2 linked regions of the Oreochromis niloticus genome follow. Each later gene encodes a partner of the first gene's protein in a complex. Links are inferred from orthologs where the notes say so. Each region holds a gene or a part of one and is shown in the gene's direction. Other genes may lie near its edges.

Region 1 (8,785 bases):
TGTTGTTTTAGCTAAATGTGATAACAGCAGAGGTCTCGGGGTGAGATTTTTAAGACTATGGAGCACCGAGGGGTCGACAGTGAAGGACATCCTGTTTTAGAAGAACTGTGCCCCTCCTGTTTGTCCGTGATGCTGCGGGACTTAAATTTCCTTAAGTCAACAGTCGTGACACTGAACCCCGTGAGTGCTTGCACCTTGAAAGTGTGAAGTCAACCAAAGTAAATCTTATTGTTCAGCGCTGGAAAGAAAATGCAGATTATTTATATTTAAAAAGAATAATAGGAAGAAAAGCTTGTATTTTACATTTACACCACTGAGCTGCGCTTGTGTAATCAAGTTGAGTCGTTATCCAAAAATAGCTCGACAAATTGCGTAATCTGTCTCTGCAGTAAAAGTGTTCTTTCTAATTAAAATCTCATCACAAACACAGCCGGCTCAAATGATTTTACACGCATGATACACGCCTAATCATTCTTTCCACGTAATGATCTTAAAAGTGTCTTCTAGAAATCCCATTCTCATTGTTCAAGATCACACAAGAGCGTGTGTGTGCCTCTCCGCAGGCGGTGCAGCATTATCACTGCTGTGTTTTATTAGTATTAGAGCACAGTGTTTAGATCGAGGCGCAGTAATCTGATCCCTGGGGGAGATTGAGCTAAATGTCAGTGAGCCACCTTGAGCTTTGCACTGCTACAGCCGGGCCCACGACAGCATCGAGGGTTACAAGTGAAGCACACAAAGGAGGGTTTCCAACACAGACCGCAGCCTGCAGGGGAGACGGAGATAGACAGAAGCAAGACTGAATGTAAATGTAGGGTTAGAAAAAGAAAAAAGATGGTAAAGATTAGAGAGATAAGAGTTAAGAGGAAGTAGGGGAGTATTGTATAAGTATGACTTATGAGAGTGGGTGGCCACATCTGAGTTCACAAAAATGACCTTTGTTATCTTAAGACTAAGAAGATGTTATTATATAACAACAAGTATCTACATGTTTTTTTAAACCTGTGAAACATTTTATAAGAGGGTTTTAAACAGCATTAATGTGTGAATCCTTCATTTCTGACCATATAAATTACAAGCATGTAATTTCATTACAGTCCGCTGAATGTCTTCTGCTTCTTCTTCTGGCTGCTTCCTTTAAGGGTCGCGTCACTGCCTCCAGCTCACCCTATCCCTAGCATCCTCCTCAGGCACACCAACCCTCTGCGCGTCCTCCTTCACTACATCTGTGTATCTTCTCTGTGATCTTCCTCTTTTCCTCCTGCTTGGCAGCTCCATGTTCAGCATCTCTTATCCAGCATGTCCACTCTCCCTCCTCTGCACGTGTCAAAAACATCTCATTTTGCTACTCAGATGAAAGTATGATCTGTAAACTTAAACCTAAATGATATTTTTATTTAGTTCTTGGATTTTCATAGTTATGAATGTTGGACTTTAAAATAGAAAAATGACCATTCATCTTATTGTTGAGCTGTAGCTGTTCAACTTAACTGTACACTTTCATTTTCAGAAGCATCGGTCAGTTATTCTCCCCTAAAAACTTCAAAAAGCCCAAATAGATCAAATTTGGTCCAGTCACTTTATTTCTATAGCACATTTAAACACTGCAGACATTAACCAAAGTGCTGCACAGCACTAATAAATAATAAATACATAAATAATGCACTGTGAATAAAAGCTAATCTGAATCTAGTGTGCGTTTATTTAAGCATTTGTATGGATATAGTTGTTAATGACCTTCAGCCTGAGAACCAGAGGACAAATCTTTCTTAGAACATGGAGTGCTCTTTCTTACAGAGGTGCGAATACAGCCAGTGTGGGAGACCATAACGGACAAACGGGATTCATAGCACATTGAACCATAGCTTATACACTGATGTATCCCGACTGTGTTTGTTTGTGTTTGGTAGTTCTTTTACTTTATGCAAACAAAAGGCCGTAAATAGGGCCAAATCTTCATATTTATCAAAGAAAGAGAAAAAACGTTCCCTTTACAGGTGGTTGAGACAAACACAGAGCATCTTTCAGTCTGACATTCATGAAGTGATTATTACTCATGTGCAGGTGGTGTAATAATATGTAATAGTACAGTATGTAGGGAATTTTCTACCATATCAGGTGTCTTGAAACACAGAAGCAACCTTTTTGATAAAAGCCTGGTCGTATCGGCCTAAAAAGAAACATGAAGCCCGCGGTGTGTTAACAGGTTATTTCTGCAGCCTCTAATTGCCATAACCTTTTTTTGCCGTTGCTGGTTTTAAAGACTTGTAAGTCAATTTGCAGCTGATAACAGGTCCCAGCAGGGTTCCCGTCTGTTTACACTTGGCCGTGCATTATGTTTTCAGCATGGGCATGCACATGCATTTTCACACCTGTTGCTTTGTCATGTGATATATGTGACGACAAGGTAACCGAGACCAGACCAGTTGGGACCGTGGATGTATTATAAGAACTGAGTACTGGACTCAAATATGGCACCTGCCCCCCCTAGAATGACAATTTCTGACCTCACACACAAACCAAAAACTTGCAAGCCCCTGTGTTGTGCTCTGAGGTTCGGAGTGCTGTAACATGACAAGAGGGAAGGTGGAGAATGGGGTGATACATAGTGAAACATTACAATAGGTTTAAAAATACAAAGAGGAGTCACCTGTAATAGACTGCCGTGCTGCCTAGGGTGTATCCCAGCTCTCGCCCTATAACAGCTGGGATAGGCTCCAGCACCCCCTGCAACTCTGAATTGGAAAAGCACTTGGATGGATTGATGGATGGATGGATGGATGGATGGATGGATGGATGGAAATTCATCATAAAACTATAAAAGTCATTCATCTGCTTTCTGAGTCAGTCCACAAGTACATTTGTTTTATTGAAAAAGTATTAATCTCCACTGCATTCAAGGAGTGTTTCTTCAAATTGCTGCACGTGAGTTGTCATAACTGCTCAAGACAAGATAACCTTTATTAGTCCCACATTTTTAAAATTCATATTATTACAACAGAAAAATTAATAGAGTTAAATAGAATAAATAGAAGCAGTATAATCTATAATCTACAAAGAGTCACAACTGGCAAAATGAAATAAACATATGATTAAATAATTAATTAAATGTATCATCAGTTAATTACAATTGGAAAAAATAGTTAAATATATACACAATTAATAAAATATCAGTTCATTTCATGTAAAACATTTTAATTCATTAAAATGTTATTTTAATTTTGTGTTTTAATAAATATTTATTCATTTCCAATTTTAATTAATTAATGAAGCATGTAATTTACTATTTAATGATCGTTCATGCATTTTGGCACTGTAACAACAGTACTATGCAAAAAAAGAAAATATATGTGTGTGTGTGTGTGTGTGTGTGTGTGTGTGTGTGTGTATTACCAATTAATAATACTTATTATCAGAAAAGTTATCCATATATCTTCTTTTGATATATGGATAACTTGATAGTAAACAGGTCCAGTGGAATAAGCACTAAGATATTTTAGATGACCTTATATTTAAAACTATATTACTTTGCGGAGTTTCCTTTGAGCCTTTGATAATAGTATACTGTGTACTGTGTACCAAAGTGGCCATGACTCCTCAGTAAATGTTTTATTTTGTTAAAACCCTTGAATTAAAGTTGAAAGTCTTCACTTCAATCACACCTAGATCACCTTACAGAGGTAAAAGCAAAAGAAAAGGTGACACTCTCCATAAACACATGGTTTAACTTTATTATCCAGCCCAGTTTAAAAAAAAGTTGGCAGTGTAAAATGGTGATAAAAAATATATTGATTACCAAACTGTATAAAAACTTATATTTAATTGAAAATAGTGCAGAGCAGGCATATTGAAAAGCCACAATTGATGAAATATTTAATGAAATGTATCAACAGGTGCACCTCAGTATTAACACAGAACATGAACTTTGAAATATCCATCAGCAACCTAAGATTCTGATTCATCAAACCACTGGATATTTGGATGCTTTAGGTGATCTTGTGCTGGTAGAAGACGTACATGTGCCTGGATCACACATCACACTGATGTGGGGTTTATTTGAAGGGTGGGATGCATGACCATTCAATTTTGGTTTTCAGTCTCATGTCCTCCACTTAATAATTTCTCATCTGAGAAGTTTAAGAAGATGAAAATTTTCAAAACACATGAAACAAGTCAAGGGGCCTCCAAGCAGTCCAAATCTGAAGGTTGGGAACTGCTTAAAAATCAGGTACTCGAAATATGCCTGAAAAGTCGACATCTCTCAGTGTCTTTTACGTTTCTTTGTCCACGTGTGTCTACAGACATGTGGACACACACGTGCCCACCAGTGTCCATTCAGACAGTCTTTATGTTGCCTCTCCATGCTAACCATGCATGTTCTCTTATGCACATCTTATTTCCAGCATGCTGGGACCCCTCTGCAGTTGCTGCCCTCTACCCCCTCCACCTCTCCCCCTCCCTCCCCCTGCCTATTCTTTACCACGGGGGCCATCCCTGCCCACCTATTTGTGACGTTCTCATCCAATGAGAGGGGGGTGCATGGTGGACAAGCACCAATGGGGCAACTTTTTCATCGCTATAAAACTTTTCAGGACAGTTTGCAGGGTTGCACTTTCTGTCGGTCCAGGGCTCCGAGAGGAGAGCAACAGCCCAGAGAGAGAGAGAGAGAGAGAGAGAGGGGGCAAAGTGAGAGCAAGTGTGAACGCACAGGGAGTTGCCAGTTTTTAATCCTAATCCCACTCTTCAAGAAAGTGGTGGGTAGAATGCCGCATCATTTGTTTTACGTTTCAGTGTTTGGCCAGCTGTAATTTCTCTCCATTTTTTTTCTATCCCTTTTGTCTCGAAGCCTCTCCGTTTAAGTAAGGATGGAGAACGCACACACCAAAGAGTCGGAAGACGTTCTGGCCTACTTTGGCGTCACTGAAGACACCGGCCTGTCACCTGAGCAGGTTAAGAAGTGCCTGGAAAAGTATGGCTACAATGGTGAGGGAAACAAAAAGATGGATGGATGGCCTGATGGATGCATGGATGGAGCACTTAGATGAAGCTTTTGATGCAGAGTGGAAAGAAAGAGCAGTAGAAAATGATGGTGAATGACATGATGGGGAGGTCCAGGAGAAGGAGTACATGCATCAGATTTAGCTTGAATGAGAGGCGGCATATGTACGGGGTGCCTCGGAGGTTAACAAGATAAAATGGCAGGAGCAGAGACACTGAGGGAAATGGGAGGGGAAGGTGAAGGAGGACAAGTAGCGGCAGTGTCGGTTTCAAAGCCGTGTGTGACTTTGTGATGCTGGTCTAATTAAGGGAAACTATCCGACTGACACAAAGCAGGAGTTATGTTTGTGGAGCAGGTGCCTCAGGGTGTCAAGTTCCTGACAACTGCTACTGGTTTTAGTTTAGATTGGGGGTAATTTATTTGTATTTTGAAACTGAGCGCACGACAGTCAAATATGTTGACTCAAGGTCAACATATTTACTTTTGTCTCGGCAGATGGAGTTTGCTGAGTTGCAGTCTCATTGAGCTTTATAAAGAAAGCATCAGAGGCCTCTTTTTTTCTTGCTTATCACAGCAGGGAAAGCGTAGGCATGAATGTAAATGTACCCACATTACTGCTTGGCTTAAGGGTTCAAATAACCGGAACTGGAAAATCATGAATATTCCTACCTCTGCTTCACATTTAATTCACTGGGAAAAAAAGTCCTTAATTCAGTAAAATGAAGAGGAATCATGTTTTTTGAGAATGCAATTTGGAGTAAAGTGTTACTGTTTATTGGAGCAGGGCCTCAGTTTGGTGAAGAAAGTGTAAATTGTGCAATGTAATGCTTCCTTTATACTGTGTATTTTGTACTCGATGGTTTTACGGTCAAATCGATTGACCTGGCTGCATGTTTCACTCTGCAAATATCAGAACGAATGTAGTAAGTGGTGTGCTTTACTAATGTTCTCTGTCTCTCATCACCAACAGAGCTGCCAGCAGAGGAAGGTGAGCCAACCCGAAACATTACACACCTGCAAGCTTCCTTTAACATCCCTGTACAGCTGTTCCTCTCACTTCCTGTCATGACTGCTCCCTTGCGTGTGTGTTTACCACTTGTTACTGACTCCAGTATGGTAATGATGTATCTACACCACACACTGCTCGAGAAACTAATGGATTGTGTCCACATCGGTTGTGCATTGAACTCAAACTAAAGCAGCAACAGTCTTTGCTGCTGGTTTTGGAGCAGCCCAAAGTGGTGGGAGGATATTAAAACAAACAATCATCATTAATCAAATATGTGTTTTCACCTAAATCACAGTCACTGCCTTTTCCATTTAACCCGGTTTGTTCATCAGTCTTACATGTATAATCACAGGAATTCTTAACACTGTATCAACATTGAATTTGATTTAATAGATGGGCTATGTCTATTTATTTGAATGTGTTTATCAGGCAAAAGTATCTGGGAGTTGGTGGTGGAGCAGTTTGAGGACCTGTTGGTCAGAATCCTTCTACTGGCAGCCTGCATCTCTTTTGTGAGTTTCATGATGCAAAGCATTCGACCATCCATTTATCCAATGCAAAGCACCTACTTATGTAATATTCATGAAGTGTTCAATGCACAGAGCTTGCTCACGTTCAAAAATTTCTTCTTCATTCTTCATCATCTTGTAGTGAAAATATATATTTTTCTATTTGTGTAGAGGTGCCCCTTCCATCCCTGTCTTACATTTACTATCACCAGATCCATTCAAAAGTAAATGGAAAAAGCAGAAAATAACATAATGTTTCAAGCAGAGGAAGACTAGCCACCACAATGAATGAAGGAAAAGGACATTTTCTCAGCAGTGCATGTAAAAGTTGTGTTTGCTATTTCAGTGATGGACACCACATGTAGTAGATTCTCTAATCTCTTCCTGTATTTCAGACATCATGTGTCTAATTACTTTTCTTTTCACTCTTTTGCATAACTTTCCAATTTACCTCAAATATGAACATTTTCTCCAAGAAAATCAACTTTTAGATATCTTTCAGATCACACGTTTGATGGGTTATTTAGGATTAAGCTGAGGTTGAGCAGTTAGAAAGTCTAGTTAGCAATTTACATTCGTTGTCCTGCAGCAGCAGTTGTCAGTGGTGAGTTGTGTTTCACCGGTCTGCAGTTCCCAGAAGCCGTACAGTAAAAGTGCAAGGGTCTCAGTTTGGTGCTCACACCTGAGAAGGCCTGAAACATTCTTGAACTCTGCCAGATTTGTGGGCATATTTCCTTTAAACTGTGAGAAACATAGTTTAGCACTGTAGCAATGCTTAAGGTACATTTTCTCTCGATTACCAGGGCTGAATGTATCACAGAGTTATATCAAGATGTTAACGGGGGGTGGGGGGGGGGGTTTGAAGCTAGAGCTAACCCTGCTCATGTAGATGATTTTTAGACTCTACCTCTGATTTAAACTTCAGAATATGTGGCAACTGAAGTTAAACACCCCCAATTTGTTGCCTTTTAAGTCTTGATTTTATGTTACGGTTTATCAACCTTGTTCTTACATAATTGGGGGCTTGTCTGGGATCTGGAGCTGCATCTCTTTTGACTCTTTACCAAACACAGACACACACTTCAGCTGACAAAACATCATGCACATCATCACGTTATTAGATTACCTTTAGTGCCACTCTCATTGACACCAGGAATCCCTCTCCCCTCCTTGTTGCTCTCGCCAGTGCAGTTTTATGAAGGCGACTAGGTTCTTCACATTGTTTTAATCTTCGATTGCTCCCCTCAGGGCTCCCTCTACAGCTGTCACTATAGCCTTAGAAGGCCTGACGTGCTGCGTGTGAAATAGCGAGAGAACAAGAGAAAGACGAAAAGAGAGTGGCAGTGCATGTGCATGGCAGGACCTTTATTTTAAGAAAGTCTCAAGCCAGGACGAGAAACTATATCCTTAGACAAAGGTCAGGGATGGAAGGAACGAGGGATTGCTTGCAGCAGCAGGAGAGAGTGAGAGACAGCGAAGAGGGCGGGGGGGGCTGGGGATTGGGTTGCACAATGGCATTGTCTGTTACAATGACAAATGAGCGCAATAGATTCAGAGTCATATATGGTTTCTAAAAGAGAGAACACTAAATACTGCAAATACATGGTCATCCTATTCATACACACAGGAATGCTCGACCACTGCAAGGTGTTGACAGGCCCTGACGCTCAGTCTGGAGATCGATTGTGTCTTTGAAGAGAAGCACAGTGAAGACAGACTGGAGAGAGCAAGCAATCAAGCCTATTTTTTTTTAAAAAGGGGTGAGAAAAGATGTGAGATGAAAAGCAGGCGAATGGAAAACAAGGAAGACTGTGATGCTGAGCTAAATGCTAAATGCTATAAAGGAAGGATGGGAGGACTTTACTCTTTTCTCTCCACTTGGGTCCATGCTCCGGTGGCCTGCAACTAATCTGTGTCAGTGTCAACACGAGGCCTTTCCGAAACACACCAGCATCAGTAACGTGTAGCTCCTGCTCACAGGGGCGCACACGTGCACGAATATTGGTTTAGAAAAAAGTCACATGGGGAGGATTTCATACATAGAATATCATACAGCACAACAGTGACAAAGAGAAATGTCATTTGATCCTACAGCGGTGCAGAAATAGCTCAGAGCCGTGACAAATATATGTTTATGTTTTATGCTACTCAGCAGTAAAAGATAATACTCTCACCCTGAGCGACAGGTGCACAACAAACGTAAAGACACTTTTGTATCACGGGCTTAGCGATAGTAACAATGTATAATTTTAACTCGAGAGGAAAGTG
Region 2 (8,976 bases), on another chromosome or scaffold:
TGATATTTCTCTGTAGTATAAAGTAGATTGTTCCCTTTTGCAATGAGCCCAATTTTTATGAACTCGTATTTGTATTTGTCTGCAGAAATAACAGCGTGAAATCCTTTGAGATAAATAGAAATAGTTCTTAAAACTGTCTCAGACTGCTGCAGGAACACAAAAATGAATCCCATTAAAAAGGAGCAAATGAAAAGTCTCTTATAACGAGTAAAATATTAAAAATATTTTCCATAAACAGCGGCTGATTTTCTTGTTAATTTAGCAATAATAATAACAACAATAATAATAAATATATATATAAAAAAAATATGAATAGAACAATTAAATATTAGATATGCAGATAACTTTTAATATCATTTTAATGTTAAAAAAACAAGCGAAAAAAATGAAAAATAATGAAACAGCGAACCATTTCCCGTCAAATAAACGTTATTTTTCTTTACCCTGGTAGGCTGCGGGGCCGTATGGATGCCTTCATGCTTCAGTAATGTGTGACTGGCTTTAATTTGTTTTCTGAGAAGTTTTTTCTCTTCTTTACTTCTCCTGACGGCCTTCACGTTGTTTTCCTCCCTAGCATCCATGGTACGTTGTTTTAATCCGTCCGGGTGCAACGGGGACTGAAAGACGTCGGTTCCCAAAGATTACGTCTCCAGGAGGAGACATTTTTTAGAATATAACTAAAGTGTTTATCTTACATAATTCTGATTTGTTAAGAATAAAATGAAATTATTACATGTGAATAAAAAATATATATGCACTTCTCGGAACTTTGTTAGCTACACCTGCTAACTTAATATCATCTTGTCTTACTCAGCCAATCACATGGCAGCAACTGAGTGCATTGACGTGGACGTCATTAGGACGACCTGAGGATTAGAATGGCAAAAAATGTGATTTATGTGACTTTGAACGTGGCATGGTTTTTGGTGGCAGATGGACTGGTCTGAGTGTTTCAGAAACCACTGATGTTCTGGGAAGGCTGTTCTAAAGATGAAAGGGAAGTGCATACCACTGAGTGCACATAATATATAAATCTGATCATATGAACATCAGTGAGACACTCATTCTTCTATTCCAGATGGATGACTCAGAGTGCCTCGCTTTTCCACAGTGTTTTTCTTGATTAGCATCCGCGCATTTTTTAAAATGTGCATCTGGACTTTGCCTGTCATTTTTCCAGCATCTGAAAGAATTTTGTCCACCCTAAACCATGCAGGCATAAGAGTACAGTATAGAACAAAGCACAGGTGGAGCTATGATGCTCTTGATGACCCCTGATCCAACAGTCTGGAATAAAGATGCAGATTCAAAAAAGAACCTGTGACTGTGACCATGTGACTTTTCTTTTCCTTGAGGTTGCATTTTGCATTACACGCATTTTCCCTTTGATGTCTTTGAGAGCAATCAGTGCAACATTGTTAAACTTGTTCTATTAGTCTTAAGTGTTTCTTTTCAGTTCTCTTCTCATGTCAAAGCTTCTGTTCTGTCCTTTGGCTCCGTTTTGCAGGCATTATATAAACTGTAATGTCAAATCCACTTGATATCCAACTTGATACAGTGGGGGATTAAATATCGAGTGTTGGACTCTACCTTTCCATTTTCAGTCATTTCATTTGTCTATCATCAGATTCAGCTTAAATATTGGTATCTGACACCGACAGTTGGTATCCTTCATATTTGTCATTTTCAACAAAGCACCATACACAACACAGCTGGACATATTCTGATCAGACACGAGCATTCACTCATATTCTAGCATGGGTATTGACTTGTGATTGATGTATTCTGCCCATCATTTTGTCTTTGATGCAGTGCCTGCCCTGGCCACTCTTCCCTGTCTGATTTCTCTCTCAGAGGGGCCAATTATCTCAGATCCTGCATCCAAATTCCTCTTCTGTCAGATGAATGACTCTGCAGCCCCTCTGAACATGAGTGCGTGTTCCAGCACGCGTGTCTCTCTGTGTTCTGAAACATTTGTGCGTGCGCCTCAGTGCTTTGCTGTGTCCCTTTGCATTTATACTCGGGCGTGTTGTGTAATGAGGCCTTCACCTGTCTTCTGCCATCTCCGTAATTACACTGCTGGCCAGTGCGAGCCCTCGGTCGTCTCAACGGCACACTCTGTTTATCCTACAAAACAACAGCTGGTCAGGCAGGAGAGCATGTGGCTGCCCTCTCCCAACATGATAACAACATTCTGCTCTTTTTTTAAGTACTCAAATAAATTAAACCCATTTATCACTGTTGGGGGTGATATCAGGTGCAATATCAGTAAGAATTAAAGCTTTAACCTCTAGTAATGTTGCACAGAGTTTTTATAACACATGGATCAGTTTTGTTTACTTGGAGATGGGAAGAATTTCTAAACCACTTTCAGGGCCTTCAGTGTCTTCCAAGTCTCCACTGGCTTAAAACCCAAGGTTTGAGTTTCATTTTTGGAACAGAAAGCAAACATCCCATGCTAAAAGCCCAATTTAGAAGCTAATGAATGATCCAATAATGACTCAGTGACAGAATCCTATCCTTTGTCAACTCCAGTTCCCAGAGTCAAAAATAAAATTTGGACCTGAAAACGCAGATATCATTTTAACATTACATTTCTCATTTGGTTGGCCATACACAAACGTCTTAAATACTAAGGTGAAGAAGTTAGCATTAACATTGCACCAAGTGGAAATGCTTGAAGCTGCACAGTAATTCAGGTATTCCTCGTGCCATTGTTCAAGGGCAGCTTCACCTTCAGCACCAGCCAAACTCTCAAAAGCAATGTAATGGTGAGAACACAAGTGGAATCACTTCTGTACCCTGAGGCATGCCATCAACCTTTGAAATGCAAGACCGGTAGCTATTTGCCAAACTCCTGCTGCTGGCATCTTTGTATTGTAATTAGCTGGGACCACAGGATGAAGAAACCAGATGCTGCCTTTTAAAATAGTGACTCTGATGTCTGCCTCTCTCTGGAGACGTGTGAGCAGATGGTTGGTGGTTTGAGAAAGGTGAGTTATAAAAACTGCAGTCTATCAAAAATATTCAACATCTGCCAATGGTGGTTATGTCTTTTCATGCATACGGAGAAAGAGAAGCATGAAATTAGTAATAATGACAAATCATCAACACAAAATATTACCATTCCTGCAGAAGACAAAAGATTAGCCTATTCAAGGACTAACAGGGAGGGGTAAGGATGGGCAGAAATAGAAGCTAAAGCATCAGATTTTATGTTGAAATATTTTAACCGGTCAAAATATTTAGAGGTCTGAGAAGTGTGTTTGGAGATCCATCTGATCTGTGTATAATCTCTCTGCCAGAATAGCAGTCAGCTGGGATGAAGTCCTATCCTCTGATAATTGCTATGGCAAAGATCTGGCCACTACAAATGAGCAAAGTTGTGAGCTAAATAATTTTCCAGTGCCAGCTATTTATAGACCAATGTTCAGACTAACCCACAGTATTTAATGAATATAGGGAACTTGTGACATGATATCTTCCACAACCTAAGGCCAAGAAAGCCAATTAATGTTTTTACTGGCACTGGAATGAAATGCACCTTTTAGGGCTAAACGAATATATAAAATAGAATAAACATATGTTCCACCATTTTTTGGGGAATGCAAAAATATTCAACTTCTATCAGGTTTAATTCAGAGACATGAATTCTAAGGTAATTTGTTATAATCTAAACACTGGATTCTAATTTGAAATTAGATTTGCTGTATTTTGGTAAGACTCATACCATGCTCAGACATATGCTGTCTGCTCTAACACAAACGCCATTGAGGAGATAATATTAGCTTAGTTTACCATAGCATAGCATAGCTAGTTAGTAGCTAGTTAAAGAATTGTTTTCTTATGTTATAAAATAAAGTTGCCATATAATATGGGTTCCTCTTCCCACTTGTTACAATGCAGCCTGTTATACTATACTAACACCAAGAGTGCAATAGACAAGCATGCCGAAGTTACAGGTTGCAGTAAGTTGCAGTAAGATGCAGTACCACCAAAGGGAGATTTTATTTCAAGCCAGCATAAAAATAATCACAGGAAAGCATTTAAAGAGACATTACTTACACATTTACATGTAAGTACAAATTAGCCACCTAGCTTAATTGTTGTAGGATAGAAGGACCCGGGAATGTACTTGGTTACTCGGACTTCTTGGCTTTAAACACACTATTTCCCCCTCCAGATATTGCAATTTCTGGATGTACTGCAGTTTCTGCATTTCATGCTTTGCCATGATATTGGGTTGGTTGTTTACATGCTAAAATTAGGTCATTTTAGTCTGGTGCTAGGTGGCTGCCAGACATGTGTAATTCAGCCTTTGTGGATATAAATTATATGCTACTGTCAATAGATTAAAACGATAGAGTTCATAAGGTGTTAAAACTAAAACCAGGTCATATTAGCCTATTGCTAGGTGGTTGCTAAGCAATATGGTGGCATCAGAATATATTAGGCATAATTCAGTGTGCGTGGTTATAAATAAGATGTTCTTGTCATGAAATAAAAATCATACAATGTGGTCAGTCTTATAGTTTATAAATTATAAAAAGGAGTAATTTTAGCTTGTTGCTCTGGTTGCTAGGCAACATGATGACTCCACATTATCCTATATAGATAAGAACCTTCAGGCATTGAATAGATACCTGATGGTCTAGGAGGAGTTTGTGGACAAACAAACGAACAAAAACACATACAGACAATGATTTTTGTGTATTACTGTAATATTTTTATTAGTAGTAGTAGTAACTGCCATGACAAGAGAATTTTCCCTAGAGCTGGAATAAATAAAGCATATCTTATATTTTAGATGTGTTGCTCTGATTCCGACACATTACTGCTATTATTTAATTTCCATAATGTTCACAGTTGGAAACTGTCACCACCACATTAACTTACACATCAGAATAAACATAGTGATATTGCATTCAATAAATGGATGTGTATACACACACACACATACATCTAGCGTCCCAGAATCTGTGGAATGGTGTTTCTGAGGCCTTGTTGACACCCCTCTGTCTCTCCTCAGATTTAGAGGGCAACTCTCCCAGCACTTTTCTATCTTAAATGCACACACAGCTGTCACAGTGGGCCATAGTCCACCCCGCACAGAGATGCCAGCACAATTCACGCTGTGTTATTCAATCACCCCAGAATTGGATCTCTGTGACAATGGGAATCCCTGGGTGAAATAGCTCTTGGTCTGAGGCTGGCAGAGCAGCAGGGTGATAAAATTCAACCGGTTTGATCTGTTTAATCCTCAGGGAATGGCCTTGGAATCCTGCGATGGAAAGGTTCAAGTGATCTGTGCTCGGACTTTGTCCTTCTGTGGCCCCTCTGTGTGTGCAGGAGAAAGTGTGTTTGTCAAGGGGGTTTAACACTAGGTCAGAGATAACACCGTTTTTAGCAGCTGTCAAGTGTGAGGTGAGTTGAGATGTTTGCTTTGATGAAATGTCAAAATCCTTCTCTTAGCACCAGCATAATACAGAATATCGGGAATCCACAAAAGAACGATAACCTATTCTCAATTTAGTTTCTATTAAAGGAAAGCTGTGGATGATATTTTGAGACAGATGAGATACTTGATACTGCTTTAATGGCTCCAAGTAAATTCTAAAGCTGCAGCAAACAGTTATCAGCCAAGCCAAGCAAGCAGTTAGCTTAACTTAGCATTAGCAATAACGGAAAATACTACACTAAGCAAGCTAAAAATCAGATAATATCTTACACAGAGAATACTTTAGTACATATATTTTTATATAATTAATTATTCACTGGCTATATGCACTCACCAGCTTCTTAATGACGTACACCTTGCTAGTACAGTTTTGGTTTATCTTCAGAGCTGCCTTAATTCTTCTTGGCATAGACTCAACGCGGTACTCGAAACATTCCTCAGATATTTTAATCCATAATGTTATGATAGCATCAGACAGTTGCTGCAGATTTGTCAGCTGTGCATCCATGATGGAAATCTACCTGTTCTAATACACCCCAAAGGTGCACTCTCGGACTGAGATCTGGTGACTGTGGAGGCCATTGGGTACAGTGAACTCAATGTTCAAGAAACCAATTCGCGATGATTTGAGCTTCGTGGCTTGGTGTTTTATCCTGCTGGAAGCAGTCATCAGAAGATGGGAACACTGTGGCCATAAAAGGATGAACATGGTCAGCACCACTCAACTAGGCTGCGGTATTTAAGCAATGATCAGTTGGTACTAAGGGGACCAAAGTGTGCCAAGGAAATATCCCCCACACCATTACACCACCACCACTAGACAGGATGGATCCAAGCTTTTAAGATGTTTATACCATATTCTGCACCTACTATCTGAATGTCGCAGGAGGAATCAAGACTCTTCAGACCAGGCAACACTTTTCCAAACGTCTGTTGTCCAGTGTTAGTGAACCTGTTTGTATTGTGTCCTCGGTTTTCTGTTCTTAGATGACAGTAGTGGCACATGGTGTGGTCTACCGCTGCTGGAGCCCAGCTGCCTCAAGATTCATCATGTTGCTTGTTCAAAGCTGCTCTTTTGCAGACTGTGGCTGTAACGAGTGGTTGTTTGAGTTGCTGTTGCCTTCCCATCAGCTTTAAACAGTCTTCCCATTCTCATCTGACCTCTGACATGAAAGAGAACTAGATAGCTTGCCTTTTCTAGACCGTTTTCTGTAAACCCCAGAGATGTTTGTGTGGCAAAATCCCAGTAGATCAGCAGTTTCTGAAATGCTCTGACCAGTCAGCCTGGCACCAACAACCATGACACATTCTAACTCACTTAAATCACCTTTCTTGCCCTTTCTGATGCTCAGTTTGAACTTCAGCAGTTGTCTGACTATGTTTGCTAGCCTAAGTTAAGCTGCTGCCCTGTGATTGACTGATTCGATATTTATGTTTACAAGCAGTTGAACAGTTGTAGCTACCACTATGGCTGGTGGGTATAAAGATGTACGTATTATGCTAATTTTTGTTATATTGATATATAATACCAATCCATCCCATTACTATCCAGCCCTGCCTGGCTTTGTCAAAAAGTAACAGTAGGATAATAACCACTAATCAGCACTGAGTAACAATTTCTTTAATCTGTAGAAAAGATGAGAAATTCAGATTAGGTCCAGGCATAATCAAGGGGTTTAATTTTTTTGCTTTGCCCACCCACATGTGTGCATTCTACTAAGAGCATTATGTATCCTCTGTATCTTCATCCATCAAGGATAAGCAACTTAATGAAGGGTGCAAGCCACTGTGCTTGACACCCCTCTGTAATCAGTACCTATTTGAAATTCCACGTAAGTGTGTATTCTGATGATATCATCATACTTTTGGGCCATTACAAATTCTTTGCTTTTAAGTTGAGAAGGGACTCGATAGGCAACTGGTTAACAGAGGCTTCAGTTGGTTTAATACAAGCATGCCTGGTATTTTACATTTTGAAGAGACTGCTCCTGAGGACAATTCCTCTGATACTGAGCGATATTGTTAGTTTCCTATATCCATTGGATGATACAAGTATTGTGTTTGGAACAACTGTAATCCACCAAGTATCTCCAATAATGTGTTATAAATAACCCTGAGACCCTCCTCTGTTGTGTGTGTGTGTGAGAGCGAGAGAGACAGACTCTGTATGGTTATGGGTAGGAAAACTCCAGTGGATGAGATTGTGGAAAATAACACACTCTATTGGTTGTTTAGTTGGTGTGTGACATCAGTCGGTGTGTATGTGAACCATGGGCGGTCCACTGAGGTTGGCTACTTTAGGAGCAGGCCCTGCCCCTGGCAACAGCAGAAAACTGGACAACAGCAAGAAACAGATGCTACAGGGGAGAACTGCTGCAATCGAGACATTTCCAAGAAGAAGAAACACTTCTCTTGGAGGGCAAGGCAAGGAGCGGACGATAACATTTGCTTTCTCTTTATCCTGTTCATAGTGGGATCACAGCCAAGCAAGCAAGGTAACAGCGACTGTGACTGGGTCTGGCTTTGTGTTATTGTCCTCAGTAAAGCCTCAGTTTTGCCAGTTTTATGTAAGCTATTAATGGCACATATCAAAACTATCAAAACAGCCCAACTTCTAAATGTATAGAACATGTTTAATCTGATTTATTAGTGTATTAGCGTGTATGCTTTGTGTGTGTTTCTGTCCCATGTTAATATGAGGGGATGTTGTTGTCCTTTTCTTTGCTGACCTTTGGTGACTGTAAACAGTAACCCAGCAGAGAAGTCACTGATCCCTCCAACCTGTTGTAAGAGGGACTGCATAAACCAGCACAGAGCATGTGCACCATTGTGTATTGCATTTTTGTCTACACTCTAACAACTGAAACACAGTTTCTTTTTCCTACCTCTGTCTTAAAAGTTTACAGCAACCGACCTCTCCTCGACTGTCTCACCTATCCTCTCCATCCAGCACGCTGCCATGGATCGCTCGGTGCAGGAGCTGTTCCTCAACTTCATGATCGTCTTAATCACTGTGCTGCTGATGTGGCTGCTGGTGAAAACTTACCAGGACTAAAAAATTAAGCAATGAGAGAGGACACGGACGTGAGGCGGAGGGGATGGAGAGACACGTGCGTCGGGAAACTGGCGTGGTTATCGGAAGACTTGGCCGCTGGCTAAAGTGAATACAGTGTTTACACCTACAGCTCTGCTTATTCATGTGAGGTCAACAATAAGTGGTTACTATAGCCGGGACAAACTATGAATGATAAAATAGTTCACAATCTGTATTTTTAGTGTTTTTTGTTTTGTTTTTTGAATAAGGCCATGAATGTGAAATCACAGCAGAGTGGTCAGGGTTAATAAATAAGAATGAAATTGTTGAAAACCCAAATGGGATGGCTTGAAAACGCAAAAAAAAAATGCAATGTCACTATAAACAGGAGTGCATACCATAGCCTGTATGTCTAAGTGCCCAAATCATTTAACAATGCTGTTGTGTCCAATTTTTCAGTTTTTTTTGTCAAAGTGATGAACAC

Evidence for each region.
Region 2: the proteins of atp2a1 (region 1) and sln are in contact, whole or in part, in a crystal structure (PDB 3W5A), measured with the Oryctolagus cuniculus proteins. The link is inferred for Oreochromis niloticus from reciprocal best matches to the Homo sapiens genes ATP2A1 and SLN. Residues at the interface, in XP_069919846.1 of Oryctolagus cuniculus: Phe88, Val89, Leu96, Ala100, Ile103, Val104, Trp107, Arg110, Asn111, Asn114, Arg324, Lys328, Trp794, Leu797, Gly801, Leu802, Thr805, Ala806, Phe809, Trp932, Ser936, Leu939, Leu943, Leu946, Ile947, Val950, Pro952, Leu953, Ile956; in NP_001075856.1 of Oryctolagus cuniculus: Met1, Glu2, Arg3, Ser4, Thr5, Arg6, Glu7, Leu8, Leu10, Asn11, Phe12, Val14, Val15, Thr18, Val19, Leu21, Ile22, Trp23, Leu25, Val26, Tyr29.

Annotation. Positions count from the first base shown.
Region 1 is NC_031969.2:13,944,544-13,953,328, forward strand, and holds the start of atp2a1 (sarcoplasmic/endoplasmic reticulum calcium ATPase 1), read left to right. Parts: upstream 1-4,593; 5' UTR 4,594-4,754; intron 4,755-4,846; 5' UTR 4,847-4,865; coding exon 4,866-4,983; intron 4,984-5,969; coding exon 5,970-5,987; intron 5,988-6,437; coding exon 6,438-6,520; intron 6,521-8,785. UniProt on the Homo sapiens protein: Key regulator of striated muscle performance by acting as the major Ca(2+) ATPase responsible for the reuptake of cytosolic Ca(2+) into the sarcoplasmic reticulum.
Region 2 is NC_031979.2:18,101,944-18,110,919, forward strand, and holds the start of sln (sarcolipin), read left to right. Parts: upstream 1-5,269; 5' UTR 5,270-5,424; intron 5,425-7,693; 5' UTR 7,694-7,953; intron 7,954-8,357; 5' UTR 8,358-8,417; coding exon 8,418-8,513; 3' UTR 8,514-8,976. Other genes in the region: alkbh8 (alkylated DNA repair protein alkB homolog 8), read right to left, coding at 444-581. UniProt on the Homo sapiens protein: Reversibly inhibits the activity of ATP2A1/SERCA1 and ATP2A2/SERCA2 in sarcoplasmic reticulum by decreasing the apparent affinity of the ATPase for Ca(2+). Also inhibits the activity of ATP2A3/SERCA3.